Regions from separate parts of the Mus musculus genome. Here regions 1, 2 and 4 are each reported to be linked to region 3. The links are microRNA targets in miRTarBase. Many come from high-throughput screens and were not tested one by one. Region 3 holds a microRNA gene; each other region holds the end of a gene's coding sequence.
Evidence for each region. The annotated mature microRNA mmu-miR-466p-5p reads UAUGUGUGUGUACAUGUACAU and lies in region 3 at 1,810-1,830, opposite strand. An mRNA with a match to its seed (bases 2 to 7 or 8) in the 3' UTR can be bound and repressed. Matches are read on the target gene's strand: a 7mer-m8 pairs with bases 2 to 8, a 7mer-A1 pairs with bases 2 to 7 and ends in A, and an 8mer does both.

Region 1 (3,185 bases), not on the chromosome of region 3:
GTATAGATACCTGGGGTGTTTGTAGGGCTAGAAGCTCATCATGTTGGAATATGAAGACATTTCCTAGGTAAGTACTTAGTTTTGTGCTATCTTTTCTTTCTCATAAGGAGAAAAGGAGGAAGAACTCGGAATAAAAAAGATACTTTTGTCAGATATATGGGAGTTTTCCATCACACGCACGCAGACACCCACACACACCCGCCTTATAGAACGTTTTGACTTTCCCACTTCCCTTACCAGACAGGTATTTTAAAATAATGTCCTCTTGATATCTGCAGCAATCTAGTAAAAAATAACATTTTTTAAAAATGTAAACTATACTACAAGACCAGGATGCTAATCACATTAATATGATCAGTAAATAACTGGGAGACGGGGGCAGCCAAGCTGTGTAAGTAGTGTCAGAGTGGAAAACCACACTGAAGCAACTGGCTTCATGAAAATAAAACAAGAACATCCAAAACAAACAAACAACAACCTCTGGCCCAAATTGCATATTTCAGCAATTGAGGGACATTCACCAATTTCACAAAAATGGGATTTAGGTTCTTGATCAAAATGATGGGCACAGAATTCTTCATAGGGCTCTTAATCTTGACTGAAAGTTCCCTTGTGTAACAACAAATGTTAAGTCCCCAGTGACCGTTACTCTGCAGGCTCAGCTGATGAGTGTGTTAGTTAGAAACCCTTCCACCACCTTAACAAAACCAAGGAGTGGTACTATCTTTGTGCTTAGCAACTGAGAAGTCACCTTAGAAAAAGTCGCCTTCTTTCTGAAATCAGAGATGCCCTGGACTAACAGCATAAAGGCATTGCATTGTTATATCATAGATGCAGAGTCCTACTAAAACTTTTAAACAAAATTTCCCACAGAAACCGGAAGGATTTACTTCATTAAATACGACAGGCAACAGTCATGTATACCGACCAATTCAAAACACTGGAAATGAGCTTCAGTTGAACAGATTTTTAGTACAATTTACATATATATTTTTTATTTTAAGTGGTTGTTGTCAAGCTGGGTAGTGGTGGCCCATGCCTTGAATCCCGGTACTTGGAAGGCAGAGGCAGGTGAATCTCTGTGAGTTCAAGGCCAGCCTGGTCTACAGAGTGAGTTCCAGGATGGTCAGTAACAGTTTCTCTGTTTAACAGAGAAACCCTGTCTCAAGAAAACTAAAACCAAAACAGAATTAAAAAAAAAAAGGTTGTTTTCATAGTCATAGCCTGCAGAACTGCTGTTTCATGGTCTTTCTATACTTTTCTACTTTCATTATAATGAAAAGCATCGACTATATCTGTCTATCCATGTGCATGGCAAACCTTCCACATGATATTTAGTGAAACGGAAGTCCTGCCTTATGCAGGGGTTCTGTGGTAAACTTAACCCTGTTTGACGGTACAAAAGAACCATCAACACTGCTGTTGACACTTCTGTACCTGACTAGTAATAAAAAGGCCACAAGGTAAAAAGGCACATAGGAGTCTATAGAAAACATATTTAAATGAATCAAAGTTGTTAAAGTAAGAAGGATGTGATGAGAAGTGACAAAGTTCCAGTACTGGGGGTTAACAGTTCCTGTTTCAGTGTTAATTAATATTGACCTCAATAGACTCTTGATAACAATTACAAAAAAAAAAACCAAAAACAAAAAAAAACAAAAACAAAAAAAAAACCTTGGTTGGAAACAAAGATGTCCTATTCCCGCTCAAACAATAAATATAAATTAAACAGTAAGAAGACATTTTCTTTTCAGTTCACAGAGCCTGAAGGGAGACATACAAGGTATAAATAAAAACTCACTGTACTTACTCAGATCTTGCTTAGAGACCTGTATTTACATTCGTACCCAAGTTGTGTCAGAGTTTAGTGGCGTCTCAAACTTACTCTGCCACGTTTGACTATTAGCAATCACATTTGGAAACACGTAGAGACTTAAAACCAAGCCTTTCCCCCAAATGCTGAAAACGATGAATGTGTGTATGTACACACACACACACACACACACACACACACACAAGCTACATAATTTGAAAAATATACCCTTATGATAGTCTAGAGTACCATTGTTTCTTAACCATCTCAATGCCCATGGAGTAAAAGTAAACAAACAAACAAACAAACAAAAAACCAACTGCATCGCTTCCAAGAGCCTGGAGCTATTATTTAATCTCCTAAATTAGGTGTATGCATTTTAAATCTGAAATACTGTCACCTTCCATTTCGCCTGTGGAGTTATACTGCTGACTAAATGATAGACGATGGTTAGATGGATGCATTCACTGTTGCCTCGCCCCATCTGTTTCAAAGCGAGCACGATGTGACCAGAGGGGCTTCGGCAGTGCAGGTCCACTCCTGTGTATTTAACTACGCTCTTCATGCAGCCCAAGCCAGATGCGCTTGCTTGCAGAAGTACAGTGTTTTCCTCTAAATGAATAGAAGCTCTCCATCCTCGGGGCTTCGCAAAGAAAAGGATTTGCTCCTGTTAAAGCAGAGAAGGAGGGATGTGGAGTGAATCGGGCTTATAAGTCTTGCATGTCTTCATCCAACTGGACGGTTTGGAGCTTGGCCAGCTCTTTTTTGTCCGTTCCCAGGTCTTCACAGCCGGCTTCAACCATGCCGTCCAGGACGTACTTGGATTTCGAGTCTAACATCATTAAGTTGTTTGTTGCTTTGTTCTCAGAATTTTGTAAGAAATTCTCTTTTATGTTAGGGACTGACTGCAGAACCAAGCGCTGTTCTCTGACAAAATCCTGGTGGACTGCTGTTGAGGCGTGGCTCACCTGCTCTTCAGCTGTGGGTACGATCTCACCCAGGGCAGCCTGGGTCATCGGGCCGGACAATAGGTCTTGCCCCGGAATAAGGGAACAGTTCTGAAGGGTTGCATAGTTAGTGTTGCTGACAGATGACACAGTACATTTGCTTGCCACAGGTGCAGACACGGGCTGGCTCTCGGCAAGGTCAGGGTTGAGCTCAGTGGGATTAAGTAGTGTAGGGGGGGTCAGGGAAAAACCGTGGGCGGCGGACACATTAACCAACGACGAGGTCAGAGGATGGAGGCCACTCCCAGAGAGATTTTCCGAAGACAGGCTTGCATTTACTTGTGCACTGTGATTGACAGGCATCAACTGAGAAAAGACCAGGCCTCTTTCTAAGCCTTCCTGTTTCACAGCTCCTACAGTCTGGC
Region 2 (3,185 bases), not on the chromosome of region 3:
CTCTCAGCTCCTCCTGCACCATGCCTGCCTGGATGCTGCCATGCTCCCACCTTGATGATAATGGACTGAACCTCTAAACTTGTAAGCCAGCCCCAATTAAATGTTGTCCTTATAAGAGTTGTCTCGGTCATGCTATCTGTTTACAGCAGTAAAACCCTAACTAAGACACCTGTCTAGCTGTCCTTGGGGCATTCCTTCAGGAAGTTCCCTGGCTGTCCACAGAGATAGCATGCCCTCAAGATACCATGCCCGCTCCTTGGACAATGCTCATTAACAGCTTATTAACAAGTCCATATGTTGTGTGTCCTTTTTCCTTTCCCTGTCCTGGTCAAGTTTACAATACACTGAGGTTTTTAGTCTGGAACAACTGGTCTAGGATCTCACTGGCTCAGCCACCAGATTCTGCAAAAGGATTTTTGGTTTTTGCTGATTTTTTTTTTTTAAAGACAGGGTCTCATCATGTGGTTCTGGTTGTCTAGATTTCATTCTGTAGACCAGACTGGCCTCGAACTCACAGAACTGCCTCTGCCTCTGCCTCTGCCTCTCGAGTAGTTGGATTAAAGAAATAACTCTGCAATGGCTTGTACAATTCTCTATGAATATCTGACTGTCAGGGAGTCTCCTTTTGGAGACCTCCAAGAGCTCTGGTATTGCATCAACATGTGTTCCAACAGCCTTCTTTAATCTCTGGAGAAAGGTAATATAAGATTCATTTTCTCCCTGGTAAATGGCCATCAGCTGAGAGTAACTAAGATTTGGTCTTGGCTTTCCTGAAGTCCCCAGAAATACAATAAAGTGCTTCTTCTCCCAGTAACCTATGGTGTCGATGACATTCCTGGATGAAGCTCTTAAAGGGACATCCTGGGCTCCTGTAGGAACTTGGGTCTGTGAGTCTTGGAATAAGAAGCCACCATCTCAGAGAGCTATCCATGTTCCTCTGAGTCCAACCCCTTCTCACTGTGTCCTCCCCCTTCCCCTACCCCCATCTCCTCAGCCTCTGGACGAGATGAGGGCACACCCTTTACACATTCCAGCTCATGAATGTGGGGGCAGTCCAAAGAGACAAAGTGACTGCTGGGGCCCCTCTCCACACTGTAGAACCTTAGCCCTGCCTGGACCATTTGCCTATACTAGCTCTGCAGTTAGGGGTTCATCCCCACCCTTTGGTGGATTTCCCAAAACTCTATGATGTCCCGGTCACTACTGCAGCTCTAAGTGACATAAGAGCCCTTTATTGGGGGTACTGGCACCGTGAACTCTAGGAGAACTCAGATGACATTAAGCTTTGAACACATGTTTACAGCTTATTTGGTTTTCAGAGGGCACTGGGCAGGCAGCAAATGAGTCACCATTTGCTGGGGAACAGGGAGATGGACAGTCCTGGAGCAGCCTGGGCTGGACGATCTTAGAACTGGGACCACCGGTGTGCTTCACCTGTGTGTGGGAGCTGTGGTCCCGACTTGTAGGTGCTTTTGTGTCCTAACAGCTGATGAAGTGGGAAGCATCTTGGTTACTATTTACTTAGCATTAAGCTGAATGTAGCCTGCTGGTTTGAAGGCATCACTTCCACCAAGCCTCAGGGCAATCCTGTAGGGGGTCAGATTGACCTATATCTCAACTGAGGTTCCTCTGGACTGTTAACTGCCTCCGCTCTGGGCGGGATGGGAGCTTTCAGATCCTAAGGCAGAGACGCCCTGGATCCATTCACAGCCAAGTGGGGGAACTTCTTCCTTCGTGGCTTATCTTTGGCGAGGAGACAGTGTCGTGGTTGTGCCCCACGCTGGCTTAGCCAGTGTCTCTAAGCATTTTCATGAACCAAATTTAGGAGCCTGGAGCTTCCATGTGTGTGTGTGTGTGTGTGTGTGTGTGTGTGTGTGTGTGTATGATGTATATATATATGTGTGTGTGTATACGTATATGTGTGTACATATATATACATATACACACATATACACGTGTGTGTACATAAACATATACATATATATATATAGATCTCAGGCTTTATTTGGAAAACCTGGCAACTGTGTTCCAGAGCAAAGCAGCTGAGTTTCCCTTTGGGTGCTTGTCCTCTGCAGGCTGCCACAGTCCCCACCTTTTCCTGTGACCCTAACACTGGAGTGGTTGCCTTCTTTCTCTTTAACATTGTATGTGCACAGGCACATGTACATGTGTGTGTGTGTGTGTGTGTGTGCATACATGTGCAGATATACATGCACACACACATGTGCATACACACACTTGGGGAGGTCAGGGGACAGCTTGCAGACGTTGGTTCTTTCCTTCTGTGTGGGTTTCAGGAACTGCACTTAGGTCATGAGGCTTAGCAGAGAGTGGCTTTACGACCTCGCTGCTGAGCCATGTCACCATCCTTCAGCTGCCTTTCTCATTATGACTGCAGTTGTCTTCCCTGAGATCGTTTTTCCACCCCTCTCTATACTCCCGGGAGACAACTCACTTTGCAGCTCCTGGATTGGCCAAATGTTGGTTCCCAGTCTTCCTGGCCCCTTCCTCGGTTGCTGGAATGCCTATGATGGGTGTCTGCTCTCCAAGCTCTTTGTATCAGCATTGCCTGTGGCGCTCTGAGCACCGTCTTGCTTCTTTTCTGTTGGTGTGTTGAAGAATGGGGTGTGGGACAAGCTATTATGTAAGGGCTTTTCCATCAGCCGATTCTCAAAGGGGCTAAGCCTGGGCCCTGCAGACAAGCTCAAGACTTCAGGGTCCAGCAGGCTCCCCATCCTGGGGGCCCCCAACCTGCCCATTGGTAGCCTCAGAGTGGGTCATATCCCCTGTCATGAACAAAGTCTCCTTGGTGTGACACCGGTTGACTCTCCTGGAGATGGACGGAGTGTGGGTCAGCTCCAGCCTGTCTTCCTCGGTTGGTGTCCCCCAGGGGCAGCACCGGAAAGCAAGCCGGAATCCAGAGCGAAACCTGCCGAGGGTGGAGAGTCACTTTAAGCAAGGGAGATAGGGGTACAGGAGTCGTCGGCTATGTGACTGCTCCACGCCCCAGGAGATTAGCTCCCTTGCAAAGAAGCCTCGCTTAGAAGAGTCTACCAACAACTCAACAACTCGGGGCTGTGTGGAGAGATGCACAATTGAATGGATTTAGTTTCTTGGAGCAGCCAGAAACACCGGGAACATGGCTCATGCGAGTAACATCAGTACTTCCTAGGCATGGGCAAGAA
Region 3 (3,185 bases):
TGCACTCCTGATCTTCCCGACTCTACCAAGGGTTTTCCCGTGGTTTGTGAGACCTCACCCTGGCCCAGTCATACATAACCTCCAAAGCAGTAGGTCACATATCATTCAAATGGATCCGTGAGGGCCATTCCCGCATGTCTGTGTGCATGTGTGTGTAGGTGTGTGTATGTATATGCATAAAATATACACGCATATACATGCGCGCACTTATGCACACAGGCACATACATAGGGGCCATCACATTATTCCAGGATGATCTCTAACTGCTCATGAAGTTAAGCATGAAATTGAACTCCTGATCCTCCTGACAATGCCAATTGTTTACACCTTGTGAGTGAGACCATTCACTGTCCTTCTACTGCATAATCAGTAACATTCTAAGACATATATCATTCAAATGGATCGATGAATGCCATACCTTGGTGTGTGTGTGCTTGCTTTTATACGTGTGTGTGTGTGTGTGTGTGTTATGTATAATCATATACACACATGTACATGCACACAAAATTATGTGTGCATGTACATACCTAGGGTCCATCACACGAATCCAGGATGATCACTAACTGATCATTAAGTTAAGCATGATTCTGAACTCCAAGACTTCTGATTCTGGCAAGCGGTTTTCATCTAGTTGGCGAGATATTTCACTGTACCATAAATATACACTCTATGAAATTCTAAGCACATATAAAACTTATGGATGACTGCCATGTGTTTCTGTATGCATGCATGTGTGAATATGTGTCAATATATGTCTTTTCATATATCCGCATGTACAGACAAACTTATCTATACACATACACAGAAACAATCACATGAATAACAGGCTGATCTGTAACTCATCAGGAAGTTAAACATGAATTTGAACTCTGGGACCTCCTGACGCTGGCAAGAGCATCCACCTCCTAACTGAGACATAGCTCTGGCCCAGCACTGCATAAGCTCTAAAGCTCTGAGTCACATACCATTCCAAAGGATATATGAGTGCCATTCCTGTGTCTGCATGTGTGTATATGCATATTCACATAGAGAAGTGAATATGCACACAACTACACACACATGCACATTTTGGTGTGCATCAATGAAACACATGCTGATCTCTAATGCATCATGAAGTTAAACATAAACTTGAACACCATATTCTCCTGACTCTAGCAAGATTATTCACCTCCTACCTAAGAAATAACTCTGGCCATTCCTATGAATGTGTGTGCATGTGTGCATATGCATATTCATATAGAGAAATGAATATGCACACAACTATACACACATGCACATTCTTGGTGGGCATCACATGAATCCCGTGCTGATTTCCAACTCATCATGAAATTCAGCACAAATTTGAACTCCTGATCCACCTGACTCTGGCAAGGGATTTCACCTGCTGAGTGAGACCTCTCCCTATTCAGTACTGAGGAATCTTAAAACTCTAAGTCACATATCATTCAAATGGACTGAGGAGTGGCATTCATATGTGTGTCTGTGTATGGGTCTACGTGTGTGTAGGTATGTATATTCATGTACACAAATCCACACACAGTTACACACATATACACATACATGGGGGCATCACATGATTCCCAGGCAGATCTCTAAGTCATCATGAAATAAAGCATGAATTTGACCTCCTGACCTCCTGATTTAAACAAGCATTTTTAATATGATGGGTGATAACTCTCCCTGATCTAGTCATACATAATCTCCAAAGCTCACAGTCACATAGATCGATGAGTGAGTGCCATTCCTGTGTGTCTGTGTGCTCATATGTGTCTTATGTGTGCGTGTATGTATATATCATCATATTCACACATGTACATGTACACACACATAAACACATATACACATACATAGGGGCAATCACATGAATGCCAGGATGACCTCTAACTCATCATGCCTTTACCATGAACTTGCACTCCTGATCTTCCCGACTCTACCAAGGGTTTTCCCGTGGTTTGTGAGACCTCACTCTGGCCCAGTCATACATAACCTCCAAAGCAGTAGGTCACATATCATTCAAATGGATCCGTGAGGGCCATTCCCGCATGTCTGTGTGCATGTGTATATAGGTGTGTGTATGTATATGCATAAAATATACACACATATACATGCTCACACTTATGCACACAGGCACATACATAGGGACCATCACATTGCACCACTCTTTCATGAAGTTAAGCATGAAATTAAACACCTGATCCTCTTGACACTGTCAATTTTTTACACCTGTTGAGTGAGACCATTCAGTGTCCTTCTACTTCATAATCAATAAAATTCAATGACATATATCATTCAAATTGATCAATGAGAGTCATACTTATGTGTGTGAGTATTCAAGTCTGTATGTGTGCATGCATGTGTATGTATATGTATAATTATATGCATACATGTACATTCACACAAAGTTACACACACATGCACATACCTAGGGTCCATCACATAAATCCAGTACGATTTCTAACTCATCATGAAGTTAAACATGAATTTGAACTCCAGATCCTCCTGACTCTGGCAAATGGTTTGCATCTGATTAATGAGATGTTTCCTGTCCCATGAATATGCACTCTATAAAACTCTAAGCACATATAAATCAAATGGATGATTGCCATGTGTATTTGTGTACACATGTATGTGTCCATATATGTGTATATATATGCATATACATATACCCACATGTACAAGCACACTTACCTATAGACATATACACGTACACAGAGGCAAAAACATAAATTACAGCCTTATCTATAACTCATCATGAAGTTAAACATTAATTTGAACTTCATATCCTCCTGACTCTGGCAAGAGTATTCACCTCCTAACTGAGGCATAGCTCTGGACCAGTACTGCATAAGCTCTAAATCTCTGAGTCACATAACATTCAAAAAAATATATGAGTGACATTCGTGTATGTGCATGAGTATATATGCATATTCATGTATAAAAGTGAATATGCACACAACTATACTCACATGCACATATTTGGAGGACATCACACGAATCGCATGCTGATCTCTAACTCAATGTGAGTTAAACATGAATTTGAACTCGTCATCCTCCTGACTCTGGCAAGAGTGCTCACCTCCTAACTGAGACATAGCTCTGGCCATTCCTATGAATGTGTGTGCATGCGTGTATATGCATATTCATATACAGAAGTGAATATGCACACAACTATACACACTTGCACA
Region 4 (3,185 bases), not on the chromosome of region 3:
GTATGAGCACACCAGAGGCGGGAGCAAGGAGTCAGGATGAGAGGACTGGCTGGTGAGGGTTCCTAATGATACTACTACTGTTAACTCTTGATTTCCTCTCAGAAAATCTCTCTGCCGTTGCAGACATCATGAATGAATCAGTAGAGACAAATAAAATGAGTATCATCAACCCCTCTTTATAACTCTCTGCTCTGGTCAGTGGGTAGCGCTTCTTGTCCAGCAGTCATCTCCGGTCTAAGAAATCGCACCCATCTCCCACCGCTGCCTTTGCCCCATCGACATTCAAAACCGCAACTGAGTCCATTGGACTTCAGAAACGTGAAATGATGGGCCTGTTTCTGTGTGTTTCCTGCAGGGTTTGAGTTTTTTGAAACCAGCGCCAAGGATAACATCAACGTGAAGCAAACCTTCGAGCGCCTCGTAGATATCATTTGTGACAAAATGTCAGAGAGCTTGGAGACCGACCCAGCCATCACAGCGGCAAAGCAGAGCACGAGGCTCAAGGAGACCCCTCCTCCACCACAGCCCAACTGTGGCTGCTAATGTCCCCCACACAGGAGCTCCAAGGGGCTCCAGAGCAGCCAAGAAGCAGCATTGATAAATGGTCTATTAGCCTTCGATTATACTGCCTAATAATTATTTGAAGGAAGTCTTTGATGGCAGTGGCCCATATATGCATTCAAACCGTGAGCAATTTCCTGTGTTAATATGTGGCAAACTTGCTCTTATATTTGTAAGGATCATTCATCTATAAACACCTGCTACTTGCATGTAACTTATCATTTATTTGTCTTTCATAATCTTTTTGGGGGGTGCAACCTTTTTCTCAATTAAGCTATTGCAGAAACTACAGACTATAATTTTACTGCAAATAACTTTCATGCCACGGATTCATATCATGCTTTTCATTTGTATGGATGATAACCTAGAGTCCCTTTGTGTGTGCGCATGTGTGTGTGTGTGTGTGTGTGTGTGTGTGTGTGCGCGCGGGCGCGTGCGTGCTGTGACCAAGGAGTGATGTCAGGAAACTTAGTTTTGCCTTTGTCTAAAAAGAAAGTGGGACTTTTGCTCTTGATTGGAGACCCCATCACAGGTCTGGGCAGTGTACCAGTAGGAAATGTATATATATATATATATATTGCACTTTTGTTAATAATATCAGAAGGGTGTGTTGACTTTGAAAAACATTGAGGGATTGGGTACAGGGTCATTCAGGAGGCTGAGGCAGGAAGATAATGAGTTAAAGTAGCTACAAACCATACAACTCGATCATGGGATAAAGAAAAAGTAAAGAAAATGAAATCCAGGCCCTTGCAAGTTTTCTTGAACCACATCAACACTAAGGGAGCTTTGCAGGCCTGACTGCCGGGATTCTTGCCCATGATTCTGCTCATCTCTGCGTGCTTGAGAGCAATTACTACTACAGAAGGGATGTGACTAGCTGTGGCATTCCATGACCTGAGTGACCTCCATCCCTTAACGACTTGTCTCACACCACAAAACACCACCATGGCTCTCTGGAACCCCCACCAATTCTGAACTCGAAATTGGCTTGAAACTTTGTTAGTGCCCCTCTTCCTATAAAAGGTAGGCCAACATTTCAACCACTGTTCTCTGCTCCACTTTAACTAAGCCTTCCCCCCTCTTTAGGAGGCAATTAGGTAACCTTTCCATGAGTCCTGACTGAGGGGGAAAAACCATTTTTTATAACCATATTTTTCAGAGGATTTATAATTCTAAAAGTTACATAAGTCTCTAGACATGCTTAAGATAAACAGATCATAGAGGTGAGCGGTCCAGAAAATTGATGAGCCATGGCGGTTGAAGAGAGGGGTGAGACCCTTGAATATCCTGTCCTCTCTTCTAGGTTTTCTGAAGACCATATAGAAATAATATGCAAAAATCCCGGTTGTGGTGGTGCCTACTCTTGATCCCAGCATTCTGGAGGCAGAGGTAGGCAGATCTCTGAGTTTCAGGCTAGAATGTTCTACAGAGTGAGTTCTAGGATAGCAAAGGCTACACAGGGAAACCTGCTTAAAAAAAAAGGAGGAGGAGGAGGAAGAGGAGGAGGAGGAGAAGGAGAAGGAGAAGGAGAAGGAGAAGGAGAAGGAGAAGGAGAAGGAGAAGGAGAAGGAGAAGGAGAAGGAGAAGGAGAAGGAGAAGGAGAAGAAGAAGAAGAAGAAGAAGAAGAAGAAGAAGAAGAAGAAGAAGAAGAAGAAGAAGAAGAAGAAGAAGAAGAAGAAGAAATAATAGAAAAACAACTCTTAACCTCTGTGCCAAATGCCAAGAGAAATCTCTCTGCCTTCCAGAAGTCTTTGCGGCAAGGATCTTAGGAAGGCACCAGTTTGAAGGACAGAACAGTTTCGTGAGGCAGACATTTTCCCTTTTTGGTAGTTGTGTAAAAGATCCACCCTTCCCTTGGGCGAGGCTGCTGACAGGCTAGTGTGTGCATGTTTTCTTCTCATGTGCTTAGTTGCAAACTTATAAATTAGTGGTAAGTTTCCACTTTGACACCTAGAGGAGCAAGTGTTGGCTCATCAAAGATAAGAAGACACTGGTGATTTTTAAATTTTTAATGACACCTAAATTCAAGAATCATAGAAATTAACATAAAGGGAAAGAGAGAAGTGAGGGGCATAAAGTAGAATTTCTTTGCAATAATATTCATATGATGTCATCCTATTTCTATGACCTGGGCCATAATACAACCATATTGAATACTATGGCTGTCAAGCTCATTTTTACAATCTACTACAAAACAATGAAGTCAGGAAACCTGGGCCTCTTTCCTTGCATGCTTACAATAAGTGTAAAAGGCCTCACTCAGATATTTTGAATGGCTTCTTCAAAAGGATGTGGGCATGCGTGTGTTATCAAACAAGAGCAGGTAGGAGAGAAAGGGAAACAACCACGTTTACTCATTTGAAAATTCCTTGGAAGAACTGGTTGAAAAGGATTTACTGAAGCCAGATGCCCACATACATGCTCTGTTGAAAATTCCAAAGTTAAGACCACGATGTGCTAGTCAGTGGAGAGAGGGGCAGCAGTAGCCCTAATGTCATTGTCCCAGAACATTCCATACCTCCTATTTTCCAGATTCCCATAGAAACACAGTTGTACCAAATGAAAGGTATGGAATTCTATATTTCATTCCAAACAATTCAGTGAGCATTTCCAGAGAGACT

Region 1: miRTarBase lists Six4 as a target of mmu-miR-466p-5p. Seed matches in the 3' UTR shown: 7mer-m8 at 1,973-1,979.
Region 2: the mRNA of Tacr2 is a reported target of mmu-miR-466p-5p. Seed matches in the 3' UTR shown: 7mer-m8 at 2,167-2,173.
Region 4: miRTarBase lists Rab3c as a target of mmu-miR-466p-5p. The part of its 3' UTR that is shown has no 7-base or 8-base seed match.

The regions. Positions count from the first base shown.
Region 1 is chr12:73,100,922-73,104,106 of GRCm38, forward strand. It overlaps Six4 (sine oculis-related homeobox 4), which reads right to left. Exons shown (of 3, transcript NM_011382.3): 3 at 1-3,185. The coding sequence ends at 2,521. Among named protein-coding and RNA genes, the nearest start is that of Six4, 11 kb to the right of the region's middle.
Region 2 is chr10:62,264,795-62,267,979 of GRCm38, reverse strand. It overlaps Tacr2 (tachykinin receptor 2), which reads right to left. Exons shown (of 5, transcript NM_009314.4): 5 at 1,990-2,929. The coding sequence ends at 2,713. Among named protein-coding and RNA genes, the nearest start is that of Tacr2, 14 kb to the right of the region's middle.
Region 3 is chr2:10,504,665-10,507,849 of GRCm38, reverse strand. Mir466p (microRNA 466p) reads right to left here and starts at 1,844; the gene lies at 1,756-1,844. The region is part of intron 10 of Sfmbt2 (Scm-like with four mbt domains 2); the gene reads right to left. It overlaps Mir467e (microRNA 467e), which reads right to left and starts at 2,129; the gene lies at 2,043-2,129. It overlaps Mir467d (microRNA 467d), which reads right to left and starts at 220; the gene lies at 136-220.
Region 4 is chr13:110,059,173-110,062,357 of GRCm38, reverse strand. Rab3c (RAB3C, member RAS oncogene family) reads left to right here. Exons shown (of 5, transcript NM_023852.5): 5 at 356-3,185. The coding sequence ends at 543. Among named protein-coding and RNA genes, the nearest start is that of Gm32881, 54 kb to the right of the region's middle.